Linked DNA regions of Drosophila melanogaster. The protein of the gene in region 1 purifies or fractionates together with the protein of each later gene. This does not show direct contact. Each region holds a gene or a part of one and is shown in the gene's direction. Other genes may lie near its edges.

Region 1 (8,013 bases):
TTTTACGTGCAGGCGCAACAGTTGACGGGGCAGTTAAGAGGGAATTGTAAGAAAAGTGGGGATGGAAGTGGATATGGATATGGAAATGGCATTGGAGAAAGATGAGTGAGTGTAATGGAATGGAGTGAAGTAAAGTATGGAAGAAGGAGGAGGAGGAGGAGCGAGCGGCATGGATGCCACTGTAAGTAGACAAACACAAATCCGATCGACGAGTCGTTCGCCTACAATCTAATCACATATACGTATTAGTACCTACTATCTCTACTCTATCTCTCTCTCTAAATGCCAACTATTCTCATATATATGTATGTGTATCTACAGAAAGCTATGCGATGCTTCATCCTACAGCCAGCAGCACAGCCAACCGCGACTACTTTTCCCCCATAGTACATTCTGTTATCCTTATGCAAAGTATTAAGTCAACTGTTGTTAGATGTGGCCGGGTTAACATTAACCCGTCGCCGCCCCCTAGGTATTATGTTGGTGTGCGCGCACCGCTTCCGTAAGGCCCCGCTCCCTTGCCGGCGGAGTGTGGGCGGGAAGTGGGTGTCCCGCCGTGCAACAGGTATGTGTTAGATTATAAGCGCTGAAAGCAAGCGAGCTCAATGCGAGTTGGGTTCGATCCCGGTAGACCGAGGTCTCCAACCGAGCCGTATCATCAACGTGTTTCTCAAGTTCGACGACTGTCCCAACAACAACCAAACCAAATCCAACCAAACAACAACTGGCAGACAAAATCTGAACCCAATTCAACCAAACAACACCAACCAACCAACCGATCAACCAACTGTATTCTTGTAGACCAATGTGTATGCCTCGGCCCAGCGACGTAAAATGAAGGGTTTTAACGACTTCAAGCGAATTGCGGTCGTTTGCATACCCAGCGAAGATGAATTGAAACGTCGCATCGCCGAAAAAGAGGAAAAGGGAAATGCTTTTACAGTTAAAGAATCAACAATTAATAATTTACGAGGTAAATATTATCCACCACACCAAAGCAACGAATTGAAAAAAAAAATCCAGAATAATGTACGATCGTATAACTTATTATTCTACCTATCTAAATAAGGAGGCATTCTTGTTAAAATGAAAAACATTATAAAAACTTATGTAACGTATTTAGTTTGTAAGCAGCTGCACTTTATGTATCTATACGTAATTGTAACTGTAAGCCCTTCAAAATATCTCATAATTTGATTATTATTATTACCATTATTCATTAACATTTATTCTATAACAACCCCCACTTGGCAACTGGAACGTATAAAGGATGGACTTTATTCACAACTGGATTTCTTGAAAATCGAAATTTTTGCGCCCTTTTACGTTCGGTTGCCAAAGTTGATCCCTTCTTTCCCTCTATACTCCATCTACAATAATTCCTAATCTGTAATGATAATGAGCGATTTTAGCAATTGTGCAGCCTTATTGATGATGTACACGCAATCTTTTTCCAGCCAACTTCACACTTCCCTCGCTGGAGTTTGGCTGGTTCGATGATATAAACTACACGGAGCTGACTGGTGACGAGGCCAAGAGCGAGGTCAAGAAGTACAACGAGAAGGGCAAAAAGGCCATTGACGCGGAGAGGTCGCGTGACAAGAGATCCCGAGGAAGTCGCGACAACTATCGTCGTGATGACCGGAACCGGAATCGATACAATGATGACCGACGTCGTGATTATGGCGGCCAGCGGCACGAAAGTCGTTGGAGCGACTCCCGCAGGGGAGGCGGCGGTGGCGGTTACTCCAGCAATAGTGGTGGAGGCGGCAGTCGTGGCTACGACAATCGCCGCAACTACAACAGCGGTAGCGGTGGCCAGCAAAATTGGGTGCAGAACAGCCGCAGAAGCGGGTACGATGATCGCGGCTATGGTGGCGGTGGAAGCGGCAGTCGTGGATACGACAATCGCAACCGTGGATACGCAGGCGGCAGCGGTGGTGGTGGCGGCGGCGGCGGTGGTGGTGGTGGTGGTGGTGGTCAGCAAAACTGGATGCAGAACAACCGCAGAAGTGGGTATGACGACCGCGGCTACGGCAGCTCGCGGGACTATCGCGATCGAGACCGTGGCAACGACCGCAGTCGAATGGGCAGTAACGACCGGAACCGGGGCAGCAGCCAGAGTAGCTATCGCTCGGGAGGTGGTACTCATCAACAACGGGATTTTCGGCCTGGCCACCGCGACACCAAAGAAGATAGTCGCGGTGGCTATGAGCGGTCAGCTGGTCAATCGCTACCCAAGTATGGCAATAACACCGCTGTAGGCGGTGGCTACGATCAGTACAAGCAACAAGGTGGAGCACCTGGCGGAGGCAAGGTAAGTGTGCGACCAAATCCTCGACGCATGACAGCTGGCTAAGATCTCGATCGTTCCTGTAGGCCTCCCTTAGCGGCAAGTGGAGTACGTACAGTCAACACCATCAGCAACAGCAGGCGCCGCAGCATCAACAAACGGGCATCTGGCAGACTCAGCAGCAGTCACAACAATACCAACAACCTCAGCAAGCAGCGGCGGGCCAGCAACAATACTGGGCCTATAACCAAATGCAGAGTAAGTGACGCAGTGTTCGACTGCTTAAGGGCGAAGACTATACGAGTTATGTTGATTCTCCCAGCAGGTTATGGCAACCAACAGGCCTGGCAGAGTGCCGATCCGCAGCAGCAACAACAGTGGATGTCCTGGTGGCAGGTAAGCAGGAGGAGTCTTATGAAAGTCATTGGAAGCGAGAATACTAAAGATATTGTTTCTTTAACAGCAGCAGCAGCAGGGCTCTGGCGGAGCAGCGGCTGGGAATGCCAGTGGCGGATCAGGCGTAAATGTCGGCGGCGGCGCTGGCAATAATGATGGCGGTGCCGCCAATCATTACTGGTCTCAATATTCGTACTCCACGCAGTCCAATGCGGGTGCCGACAAGAAGTAGAATGCAGCAACACTATGCAGCCGTGTTCCACCAGGCCCAGACCCCTCTGCGTTGTCCCGAAAGGAGTTAACCACAAATCTGAACTAAACTTTATATAATAGTTTTAAACGATTAACGAACAGTAAAACAAAATTAATTTAGTTTAGCCAGTTTGGGCTAGTCGAAACCAAACAATTGCGAGGGCTAACCAAACCCTAAGTCAAAATTCTTACCTTACCTTCGGATGGATTGTACAAAACTAAGACTACATATATCATTTGAAATTGAACGTGAATGTTTCGCTTTTCATTTTCCACAACGCATTTTCTATATGACAGTGACGAAGCAATTGAATGAAACGCGGTCTTTACTCTGGCACTACGTATCTAGGCAGTACAACTTGTTTTAACGTTTATTACGATTATTGTTTTATTTTTTACAATCAACGCAAACAATTGAAATGAACGCATTAGAGAAGAAACATTAACGAATAAATCTATACATTGAAAAAATCTATTTAAACGATCTTATTACTGGGAAAGGGTGTGTAATGCGCTCGCATTTTAAAGGACAAATCGTTAAAACACGATAAACAGCTAATTTTAAAATTTACATTAGGCCGAATGCAATTTAAGAAATATTGGAGTCTGCAAGTATGTATTTTCTAATTTAGTGTTTAAAACAGTTTTATTAAACTAAAAACTAACGTTTGCTTTTTTTTTTAAATGTATATTTTTATTTCCAAAAAAAAATTAGTAAGTTTGCCTTAGATTTCAAACTTAAGTTGTGCTATGAGTAACTGAAATTCAAAAAAATAAAGCAAAGGATATTTGTAGCTAATAAATATTTTCTAAAGATAAGCTGTTTAAATAATAAACTAATGTGATAAAATTTTTACTTGAGTCACTACCAGTGCGGCTTAGCGGAATTTTCGGCAAACGGGCACACTGCAACTTGGTCACACTGGCTAGCTGGCAGAAGTCCGTAAAATTATTTTTCGTTTCCCAGTAACTTTCTTGTCGCATTTTGCTTTTGAAATCAAATTAAATCATTTTTTTTTTACCAAAATCCGATATCACAATCAGATACTGCTGTAAGTTGAGATTAGGTGTGCCGTTCTGAAACCAGCAAACTCGACCAACCCTCCCACTTTGCCTTTGCCCTTTGTTCCGAGTTCCACTGATTTACATACTTTCGCCTCGCCAAGCATAGGTAATTATGGATACGGAGAAGTCTAGCAGCAGCTCCTTCGAGGACCTGACCAACGCCGAGGACACCAAAGACATTCGCAAGGTGGCAGCGGAGGAGGCAGCCTCCGGAGATGGCGCACCCCCGGCATCCGTTTCTGGAGACGGACAGAAGGCGGAGGAGGAGGATGCAGAGGAGGAATGTGATATACTGGGTAACAAGCAGCTGATTAAGCGCACCATCAAAAAGGCACCGCAAGACTCGTTTAGGCGTCCGATTCGCGGCGAATTGGTCACCGTGAACTTCACTGGAAAACTGGACAACGGCACGGTGGTCGAGAACGAGTTGAACTTCCAGTGTCACGTGGGAGACTACGAGGTTATCCAAGGATTAGATATGGTGTTGCCCATGCTGCAGGTCGGCGAAGTGTCCCAAGTCAGCGTGGATTCCCGCTTCGGCTACGGCTCCCTAGGACTGAAAAAAGAGGGTGAATCCGAGTACCTGGTACCACCCGATGCGCACGTAAGTTTATATTCAAATTGTCATAAGAACTCTTCACATATATCAATTTTCCAGCTTACCTACGAAATAGAGCTTCTGGATATCAAATACGAAGAATTTGCGGACCTTAAGAGCTTTGAAATACTGCGCAAATATGGGTATGTTATATTCTTTGCTTTGCTAGTCGGTTCTTAAAAAATAATTCATCTTTTCAGTACGCGCAAGAAAGAACGTGCCAATTTCTTTTACAAACGCTCGGAGTTCACAACCGCCATTCACCTGTACAGACGTGCCCTCGACTTTCTGGACAATCGTGATGGGGATCCGGACTCCGAGTTCGACAAGGAAGACTTGGAGCTCTCGAACAGTGACACGCAGACCCTGCTAGAGGATCGGTTGATCGTTTACAATAACTTGGCAATGACTCAAATCAAGATTGCCGCTTATGACGCAGCTCTGCAGTCCGTGGAGCATGTGCTGCGGTGCCAGCCAAATAACTCCAAAGCCTTGTATCGCAAAGGAAGAGTAAGTTGTTGGCTCAGAACCATCGATTTTCATTCACAAAATACTTAAATTACCCGGCAGATATTGGAGGGCAAAGCGGACACCCAGGGTGCTATTAAGCTACTGCAAAAAGTGGCTACTCTCGAACCCGAAAATCGAGCCGTTCAATCGGATTTGGCCAGACTTTTCATCAAGGCTCGTCGTGAGGAGCACAACGAAAAGGAGATGTATCAAAAGATGCTGGGCCAGGCCAAAAAAATGGAGCAGAATACTGCCACCAGGCAAAAGCAGCCGCTTGTCGACAATTCCAAGGTGAGATAGCTAATGAGTTTATAAAAAAAAACCGAGTGTTAATTCTCATTTTGTCATTCAGCTGAAGCTGCTTGGCTATCTAATGGGTACGATATTAATTGGAGTGGCTGGCGTCGCTATTTATCGTTACAAGTACTAAGGACAAGCATTGCACACGAACTACTGGTTATTTTAAGCAATTGAAATGCATTTTTTAAGTATATATAGAAGGCAAAATTATGAATGTTGGAAAGTCGCAGTTGCTTATTATGATGATATGGCTCTCGTTGTACATTTAATGCTATGCACACTTCACAATAGTATGTATCTTTCAAATAGTATGGTTTTGGATATCGTACATATAATGTTAAAGCTTAAGTTTAATCAACTACATTCTGTCAGACAAGTAACGGGAATTGTTAAAATAAACACAATATTCTCATCATTATGTTTTATACAATTTTCAAACGAAATAAAGCAACACAATCGAAATCAGACCATATTTATGAACTTGCAATAAGGTTCGAAAGAAAGCATATGAAATACCATATGAATGTAATGATACTGATAAGAGCAGCACTGATAAGAACTCCTAACTTGATTTTTTTTGTTCGTTACTTAAATAATGCATGATTTAACTAAACTCTGCTCTAATCTAAAAGGCAAACGAACTTTTGTAAAAACAAATCGGAACATCCGTTCAAGAGATATAATTTTCTTCTATCGCGACTTAGAATGATTAAATGATGGTGCGAATTTAAACATGCTGATTCATTGTTTGCGTATGGTAATCGACATGACAATGGGTATATTTGGGTCTCCCAAGGCTGTTTCTATGGGGGGTCGTGGAGGTAATGCAGCTGCGATCGTATATAAACCTATCAAGACATCAACAATTTTCAGTATCTGATCACTATATCAACAATAATTGTGAAAAAAAAACCAGCAATAACACAAAGCTTTATTTACCACATCTTATCAGTTCGCCACAATCTGTAATATCTATTCGATCTATCCAGAAAGTCTATATGTTTACAAACGTATGTTTATAAGCAAGTGTTTATAAATATCTTTCATTTGAGACAAAACACTTTTATTGGGGTGATTAATATACAAATTCATAAGCTTTCGGTTAAACAAATTCCTGCGAAAAATAAAAAAAATACATGTGATGCGAGTAACTTAGGCCTTCGATGCAATTTCAAGGGCCTGCTCCAGATCCTTGATCAAATCATCGGCATCCTCCAGTCCGACGGACAAGCGAACTAGACCGTCAGTGATGCCCAAAGTTTTCCTATCCTCCGCTGGAACCGAGGCATGGGTCATTATTGATGGAAGCTCGGCCAGACTCTCGTAGCCACCCAGACTCTCTGCCAGGGTGAACACCTTGAGGGCCTTGAGGAAAGCCGAGGAGTGCTTCAGCTCGCCCTTAATGTAGAAGGAGAACACGCCGCTGTATCCGTATGCCTGCTTCAGAGCGATCTTGTGCTGCGGATGGGAGGGCAAAGAGGGATGCAACACCTTCTCCACGAACGGATTCGTCTCCAGGTATTTGGCAACCTTCAGAGCATTCTTCTGGTGCTGTTCCATGCGCAGCGAGAGCGTCTTAAGACTTCTGTTCACCTGATAGCAGTCGAATGGAGACGGCACAATGCCCACTGCGTTCTGCAGGAACTTCAAGCTTTTGTAGAGCTTCTCCGAGTTCATGGTGATGCCACCCATGACCACATCCGTATGACCGTTCATGTACTTGGTCAGGGAGTAGCAGACCAGATCAGCGCCCAGCTCCAAGGGTCGCTGGAAGTAGGAGGTCAGGAAGGTGTTGTCGACGGCCAGGACGATATCCTCGCGTACTCCATGGACCAGCTGCGCAATAGCCTCGATGTCGGCTACCTTTACCAATGGATTAGTTGGTGACTCGATCCACACCAACTTGGTCTCCGGCTTGATGGAACTTTTAATTAGATCCAACTTCGTGGGATCCACAAAGGTGGCTGAGATTCCCAGACGGGTGGCAACCTGTCGGATCAAACGGTTGGTGCCTCCGTAAACATCGTCGCCCATGATGATGTGATCGCCGCTGCTCAGCATAGTTAGCACAGCGGTGGTGGCTCCCAATCCCGATGAGAACGTGAGGCCGTATTTGGCATTATCCAAGGCGGCGAAGCACGTCTCCAGCACGTTCCTAGTGGGATTTCCACTGCGGGAGTACTCATAGCCCCTGTGCTCGCCCGGTGCATCTTGCTTGAAGGTGGTGCTCAGCGATATCGGCGGAATCACGGCAGCACTCTTCCACTGGTCGGGGCTCTGGCCCGAGTGGATGGACTTGGTGGCGAAGCCGCTCGGCTGGACTCTGTAGCTCATCTTGTCTGGGTAGGAGGATCGTTGGGAACTGACTGACACGTGGAGAGAGACCGTCGCGAATATATATACTCCTGCCAGATGTTATCGCCTAGCCGGTAATTAAATATTTCGACCGTTACAACACTACATTCGCCGACAGTGATGGAGCTCTAGCTATTAAACGGCTAGAAAACGGAACCCTTCAAAAGTAACGATACATATATGCATTGAAACGATGGATATTCTTACTTTCCTTAGAACTTCTTCGATTATTTATACAATAATT
Region 2 (8,185 bases), on another chromosome or scaffold:
TGATTATCATAGCATCACGTATACGCCATGTTGAGCGCGGCACCATCAGACAAACAATTGTGATGCTGATGGCAAGGCCAGCATTTCAAGTATAATTAGCAGTAACCAAACAATGGTCTTAGTGGGGGCATTACTTTTTATTTATATTTATACCCAGAACTGCTTTTGTACAGAAATTCCTCAAATTTCTTTGTTGAGAGGAAAACTATTCAAAGCTTGAAAATAGCTACGAAGCTTGTTAATTTCTTATTCTTATTGTTTCGTAATACTAGAAAAATTTTCTTTAAAATATCGAATGACAGAGGTTTATGATAAAGTGCACTTATATATTTTGTAGTTTATGTTTCTCTACACTACATCGGAGTGTGCGGCATTGCGCTAAACCCAATATCACAGTCAGACCCTGTCACAGCTCGACTTGGCTTGAATCTGAGCTTGATACTGCTGTCTGGCTGTCTCCATTCGCTTCGCGTAACCTCAATGTGTTGCCAGGGCCCATCAGAGTCAGCATCCGCATCGTGTCCTTGGCATCCTGCGCCCTATTTCTGCGCGACCAGCACCCACCGCTCAGCATCCCTTTGCTACTCCTTAAACTACCCGAAACGGCAGCTTTGGTCGTATTACTGTGGCGCTTAAAAGGTTAAAACGTTTTTGACTTTGAGCGTCGACGTCTGCAACCAGCAAATCGTCTAATGAAAGCGACTTTTGCAAATGAAATAATTCCGCAGCCATTTTTTTCGCGGTTGTTGTGCTTTTCGCTTTCGCTTTCCATTTCTGGATGTGGCGGGGCTGTGCCATTTTAATTGAGCCAGTTTGTTTAATTATGTGGCCAGTTTGTAATTATGACGCCCGCGTGGGCGTTGAAATTGAATGTGGCGCGGCAAGGTGAGACTTTCCGTGTCAAGAAGCAAAGGTTTTCATTTACGTTGGCTTTAAGGTTTCGCTAAAGGTTTTTAGGTAAAAAAAATTCTTCCAAAAAAAGAGTAATAAAGCAAATTTATGTATTTGTGTTCCCTACAGATCACAAACATGATTGCGTTTTTGATTATGAAGAATTCGGCAAATGTTGTGCAAAAACTCATCATACGCAAATTAAGCGCATTATAAGGGTCATTGCTGGCCAAATGACCTAGACAAGGGCTCAAACTGCTCGTTAGATGAGCCCAAAGAACTTTGTGGTTGGAAAGGGACTGCCAACTCCACTCAAACTTGACCCAGTCTGTGGCCGAGTTTTCTAGTAGCATCTAGGCAGTGTTACCTGTTGCCAGAGCGAGAGGGAAAATGGACCTTAAGTCATTTGCAACTCGCTTTTCTATGGTTTTTCCTTTTCACTTTTCGCTTTTCCTTTCCTTTCTCTCTCTTAAATCTGGGCAAACGACATTCATAATTTTTATTTACTTTCCTTCTCTCATTTTCGTTTCGCTCTTGGTTTTTCTTATTGCATTTTTATGCCCGCTCCCTCGGCGACATGGCGCGTACCACATTTCGTATACTTAATGAGATTTTTCGCAGACATATTTGCAATTTGGTAAGACCAGTGAGTAAAAGTTGGAACCGCAAAATATTCCATCCCTTTGCCGCCGTCTTTGGTTCAATTTGAAAGTTTCCCTCCAGTTAAACCCAGGAGCAACAAAAACTAATTACAATCTCAAGTTGTTTTTTCAACACTCGGCCAACTTAAAGCTAAATGTTGGTTGGGCTACAAAAAGTATAAAATGAAAATTATATTAAACAGTGCCGCTGCCTGCAGTCGCGGAGCCAGTTTAATTTTAGTTTTTCCAACTATTTCTCCTTTGCTGCTTATTCTTATTCGTATCCTTATTGCTGTTTTGTTTGTGCTTTTAACTTGGCACTTTGTGCGCGAATTTATTCTTTCTTTTGCCCGCTGCAAATTGCACCTCTGTGATTATGGCCACTTGGCATCGTCTTCGCTGGGGTTTAGCTACGGCATTTGGCCATTTAAGAGGTGTTCCCGGGATGGTGGCTCTAATGACATTCTTTCCCCCAGCGATGTGCACTAGACACTGTTCATTAGGAGCCATGCCCGCTCGTTGGGCACGAACCCAAGACAACTTTAGCCAATTCGCGATTGGCCGGAGAAAGAGCAGCTGCCGGGATTCCAGATGGATCCTCGGCGTAAGACGGCACCGGAACATCCTTCAAAACTTGCAGCTAATCTCTGCCAGCAGTCCGGCGAGCGTCTCCCCATGGGCAAGTCCAATTCCAAACTCCGTTGGGTGCCTGTGCCCTGGGAAAGCTGTCAATACACGTCTAAAAATTAACTGATTATTTAACTTAAATGTAATATGTCCTGCAATACTTTTACAAATTAAAGAATATCAATTTTGGGTTGTCGAAAAGAATCTTCTACATTACCAAAAATTTTTGTAAGCATTTAATTATAATTTTTCGGCTTCATTCAATTTTTAGACGTGCAGTTCCCACTTAAATAGTGTTGCGTCATTATTCAAAATGTCAATGTCATTTCAGTTTCTTGTGCTCTCTGGCGGGCTCCTTTCTCGCTCAGTGACACTGCAGACTCGTTTTTTGGTGGCTGAAGTCTCAACTCACTGCACTGACAGCTGATGATTTTGGAAGGATAATAGAGGGGTGTCCTCCCGAGATGCCCCGGCGTTTTGTCATGCTTAACTGCCGCTGCTTTTGAGGCCTTCTGACAGTCCCCCCAGTTTAAAGTTTCATCGAAACTGTGAACAATGGTGGCTGGGCTGTGGATTCCAGTGCCATTTTCTGGCCTGCCTTAAATCATAAGCTCAATATTAGCTTTTCCGGTTATTTCAGCCACTTGTGTCCCTTTTCGTATTTACTTGCTATTTGCCGAGTGGTCCGCAATGGCCATCAATTTATTTAACAAATGACAAACGCTTTGCAAATCAAACAACAATAACTAATAGACAGTTTGTTTGCCGTCCGTTTGTCCGTTTATTTTTTGTTGTTCCAGTTATTTAGGTCCCGAGGGCCGCTTATCTTTGAGTCCAGGCCCGAACAAAAAGGCCGCGTGTGGGATCTGGCGTTTCAATCAGACAACCGCAATAATGCACCATCGAAAATAAGCGATATAAATGTGTGTGTCTAAAATACGTTTGCATTATAGCTAATAACCGATTTGCGTGCCCAACGAACATAAGCCAACTCTGAGGTCGGAGGTCGCATTTGGCCGACGGCATTGTTGCTGCTATTATCGCTCGGGCCTTGTGTGTTTTTGTTACGGCACAATGCACCATACATGATAATCTTTTATTAAGTTTTCGTATGGGCAAGTCCTTTCAGCAGGCTAGTTGCACAAGTGAAATTGTTATTTAAGTTATTAAACTTACTAAATACAAAATAAATATTTTTTTAAAAAAGAATTGTTGATTTTTTGTATATCAAAAAGAGAAAGCTAAAATATATAATTTTTATTTATAATATAGCAAGGACATGAACCACGACGCATTGTGCATTGAACGATCAAAGCTCAATTCCCAAAATGATCTGCTGTAAGCTTAGCTTAGCAAAGACTTCCACCGTGACCCAGATCTGTTCCCACCTGTGCTAGTCAAGTGGGTAGAGTTTCGGCCACAGAAGTCCAAGCACTCCACTTACTATTTTTGATCTTTTAGACGCGTCGTTTAGACGGCTTCATAAACGCGGCTATAAACAAGAGACGTCGCTGCCGACGCCGCTGTCGATAAGGCCGATGCTATTTTCGAATTGGGCGATCTGTCAGCGCTACGAAGTCGGTTTTGTTGAGTTGATCAGTTGAATTCACGTCGTCGGCGAGTCGAGAAGCAAAACGCGGAAACGCTTGAGCAAACAAAGCCGAGAACCTGAGCTGAGTGTTAAGATACTTTTAGTGTGGCTTTGCGCGCGGATTTTTCGCGTTGACATAAACCAGAGCACTTTGCAGATCGTAGTTTCTTGCAAGCGTTGTGAATGAGCCAATTTTAGCGGCGATTATTGTGCAGTGCAGCTTTCAAATCCATCTCAGTGTGGTAATTTTTCAGTTGGCTAATTGTGCAAGTAAAACAAAAATTGAAAACAACAACCACGCTTCGTCTAGTCGGCAGTAGTATCTGTGTACGTTTCGGTGTATCTGTATCTGTGTCCGCTCAATCTTTGCTCAATCGCAATCTTTGGGCATTGCCAAAACAGGTTAACTAAAAGCAAACGTGTTCTTTACGTTTCTGTTGACTTTTGCCAGCCGCAAAGCCAAAAGTTAGTCAGCAAAAAATAACAAAACAACAAAAATAAAGGGGGAAAATACAAATTACGAGGAAAATCAATAACAGACTGTTGCCACAGTTCCTGCAATTCGTGGTTTCTCGCCGGAATAAAAGCAGCTGCGGTCCATTTAAGAACTTCAAGGAGCACAGGTAACCGCAGGCCATTGGCCTCCTTCACATTAAAATGCCAAGGGCTGCTGTGGATGCTGAGGGGATTTCCCACTCAACCAGCTCAAGGATGCCCAGATAATGCAGGGCTTCGCATTCCCAAAAGAAAAAACCATTCAGTAAAAACACCAGCTTCGTCAACGACCTGCTCCAATTCGATTTATGCAGCCCAAGGTCAACAGCAACGGCTTTAAAATGCAAACTCAGGCGAAGTTGAATCTCCAAATGAATGCTTCTGCTTTTGCTGCTGCCTTTGTTGCCGCGACTTTTGTCTCGCGTTTTTTGAACTTTTCAGTTTCGGACGACTTTTGTCGAGGCGGTGTAAAGATGTAGCAAATGACTTAAGGTTAAAGCACAGAGAAACCATGTTTAAGAACTACACTTTAAGTGATTTTTTTTTTGGTTTTTAAGTGATATTTGGATGTTACTTTATCTAATACTTTATTTGACTAAACAATTAAATAAATATTTATTGGCAATATATGTAGGTTTTTAAAGAAAAGGTCTGGTTGTAAATTTAGAGTACTTCTGCATATCAGCTGTCCTTCTGCGAAGGGCTCATAACTCTGGCTCTTTAACAGCCGTTTGTAATTATTTAATTTGCTGACTGCAACCAGGCACTTAACCTTTCCAAAATTTACACACAAACCGCAACAATGAGCGTTGCCGCAAGAACAACAACAATAATCGAGGTGACCGCGTTACTTGGTACAATTAAAACCGCAAAACTCGACTCGTTAGGTAACTTTGACCTGCTCAGCAAAAAAAAATTAGTTTTAAACAACTAAAAGCAGAAAGGTTACGATGCACCCACTAAGTTAAACGATTACATTTAAAGAGAAGCGCCCAAAAAAGGAACCCATTAAGCTCTGACTAATTTTTAGATGATGGTTTAACTAATGAAAAATTATTAAATTAATGTTGGTCAAGGCGTGTGCTCATATTAATTATTTCACATGAGTTGCGCAAAACTGGAAATCAAGTGACTAACACTTTTAAAATTTTTGCCAGGAAATCCATAAAGCCGATGAGGAGTATGTAGATCCGCGCAAGAGGTTCTTAAGATCTTGCAAGTCAGAATGAACGACACGAAACTCGCTTTTCGCATTTTATTAAAAATGAACTTAGTCCACAACAACTCAATCAACAATGACTGCCCACCGTCTTTGTTGGAGCATGAGTAATAAATTTCGCATTCATCAGCTGCCAATTCTATTAGCGGAAATTAAATAAAACTTTTCGGGTCATTTTTTCGCTAAATTGAAATAATTCTGCTTAAATTGCTAATTGTTTTGACCAAAAATTCTAATTAGTGCATCCGTGTTCAATTTGAAGCACTCGTTAGCTGCCGATTGCCGACGGCAATAAATTGCATTTACCATTTCGGCACTTGTTTGGGACTTTTTAAAGTGCAATTAACGCCAAGCCACTGCACAATTATTTATTTATACATTGCATGTTTTTTTTTATATCACTTTTCCATTTGTCGAGCTTTGACAACTCTTAACTGTGGGAAGTGGGCCTTTATTGAGTTTGTCAAGGCGCATCGTCGTTTTGGCCATTTGTTACATTTGCATTCCAGCCAGCGGATGCACATGTAATGGCAATTGATTTACAATCTATGCGAATCAATATAAGCCGAGTAGCAAAAAAATTATAGGCATATACGTGGGTATGTGTGTATATAATTATTCAATTAAACGACCACACAGCGAGCCAAAGGTAACCGCCAATAAAAGTATTCGCTCAAATACAAATAAATATATTTTCCTTTTTTGTACGATTTTCCGGCGTGAGACATGGCTCCACGAATGCAATCAAAGTCGAACTTTATGGACACGAAAAAAAAGTAAAAAAAAATCAAAACGACAGCCAAAAGTCTGTGGCAAATTTAATTTATCTGTTTGATTTTATTTGCAAAAAGTGTCAGATATGTGAAAAACATCATAATAAATGAGCAGCGCGTGAGAAGCCAAAGAATGTGGTATAAAAAAGATATATTTATTTCTGGATTCATAAAATGAATTGCAAAAGGGTGTTATAATTGCCCTTAAAATACTGATACAATAATTGTCAATTTAATTTCCCATTTACCTACAATACCAAGCATTTAAAAGTTTATATTTGAGTTGAAACGACATGTAATGGGACCATTATAAAATATTTGTTGCCCTAATTCATCGCTGTCTTGGCCCATTAATAAATATCAATATAATCAATTTGCAAGTTTCCACACTGACAATTCAGTCAAGTTTAATTATTGTAAATAGCGTTTGAGAAGGAAGTAAAATCAATTATGCAAATACCCCTAACAAAGTTATGAAACACGTTGGGCAAATGGCCGGAATAAAATTGACTATGATGCGAAATCAATGGATTCAATTTGGCGATAAACATAAACAGTCTCCAAATGCGAAAGTAGATTTTCCAACTCATATCATTTTTATGCCGCCAAAAATGTTCATGAGAATATGCAAAGTTTCCTTTCTCGTCATATTTGCAACGTTTATCCCACTTCCTGACAGCCGACAAACACTAACTGTAATAAGCCACTTGTAAGGCAGCAATAATGTAGATCTATGGGCCAGATAGATGTGGTGCCCTCCTTTCGGCACATTTGCATAATCTCAGGAAAATCTTTGGTAACAAGTAATCGAAAATAAATTTGCATAACAAATGCCAGCTTAGTGTGCCAGTGTCAGTGGGAAAAATGAGACATAATCTGCGAGGCTGCTCAGACCAACAATCAATAAAATGTATACAGATGCAAAAAATATATAGACGACTTTTTGCATTGAAGCGCACTGAAATTTAATCAGAATTTAAATTGAAATTCCCTAGAAGCAAAACGAGACGAAAGGTCGCCGCCATTCGGCTATATATGTATGTATGTCTTTTTGCACACTTATTTGTATGTCAGCAAATAGAACAAACAGCGGCCTCCAGGCAGTAAAAAAAATAAAAAATAAAAGAAACAAAGACACCGCACCGGTGCCGAGTAATTGCCAAATGTTTACGCACATATGTACGATATGTGATATTTGCATATAAACAGGCATATGTAGCCGCTTTTCATTCCGACATTGCAACGCTTTTTTAGGGCTCCCCATTTGCATTTCATTTCAAAGCTGGTTTTTTCAGATACTCCTCCTCCTTTTTTTTTCGACGCTGGGAATCGGTCTCCTAGGGGCACACCGAATACGAAGTGCCAAGCGATGGGCTGTGATTTCATTTGGCGAGCGGAATTCGGTGTTGTTTTATGAATGGAACGGACGGAAAATGCGATGACATGATTTTCAAGGGTTTACAGATCGCTGACATTGAGAGAACTCTTTATGGATGGCATTGCAATTCGCAAATCGCAGCACTTAATTAAATTTCCTTTTGTCATCGTCTTAATTGAAAACTGTACCATCCGCCCGTCCGTCCATCATCGTGTCCAGAGGCGACTCCTTAAGTCACTCTCGACAGATTATTCCGGGTTAATGACTCTTTCAAGTGACACTTGAACGCTTCTCCCCGCTAAAAGCCGCTTACAGTCTGGCCTTTTCGGTTGGCGGTCTTGCTCAAGCAAAGAAAAAAGCCAAAAACACAGAAGTGAAGCAAGTAAAGCAGAATTCAGTTTGCGATTACTCACCCAGCAAAGTTGACTAAGCAACTAAGCTCAGCTGGGAGCTGAAAGCCGTGGCTTGAAATTGGATCACAGCGCTCTAGTTTACCATCTATTTTCCATTTTTTTTGGAAGTGTTTGTTTTTGACTGAAAGCGCTCAACTGTTAAACCGAATAAAATGCA

What was found. Proteins that work in one complex are often made in the same cells at the same time.
Region 2: the proteins of zda (region 1) and osy purify together in Drosophila melanogaster (affinity purification with mass spectrometry, with the first as the bait; one large-scale study listed by BioGRID). This does not show direct contact.

Annotation. Positions count from the first base shown.
Region 1 is NT_033778.4:18,627,730-18,635,742, reverse strand, and holds zda (zonda), read left to right. Parts: upstream 1-3,840; 5' UTR 3,841-3,993; intron 3,994-4,107; exon of another isoform or gene 4,108-4,112; 5' UTR 4,113-4,118; coding exon 4,119-4,610; intron 4,611-4,664; coding exon 4,665-4,747; intron 4,748-4,804; coding exon 4,805-5,114; intron 5,115-5,174; coding exon 5,175-5,405; intron 5,406-5,466; coding exon 5,467-5,544; 3' UTR 5,545-6,149; downstream 6,150-8,013. Other genes in the region: CG30122 (uncharacterized protein), read left to right, coding at 802-973, 1,458-2,317, 2,380-2,551, 2,616-2,689, 2,757-2,921; Cth (cystathionine gamma-lyase), read right to left, coding at 6,567-7,748.
Region 2 is NT_033777.3:26,314,601-26,322,785, forward strand, and holds the start of osy (oskyddad), read left to right. Parts: upstream 1-3,754; 5' UTR 3,755-4,373; intron 4,374-8,185.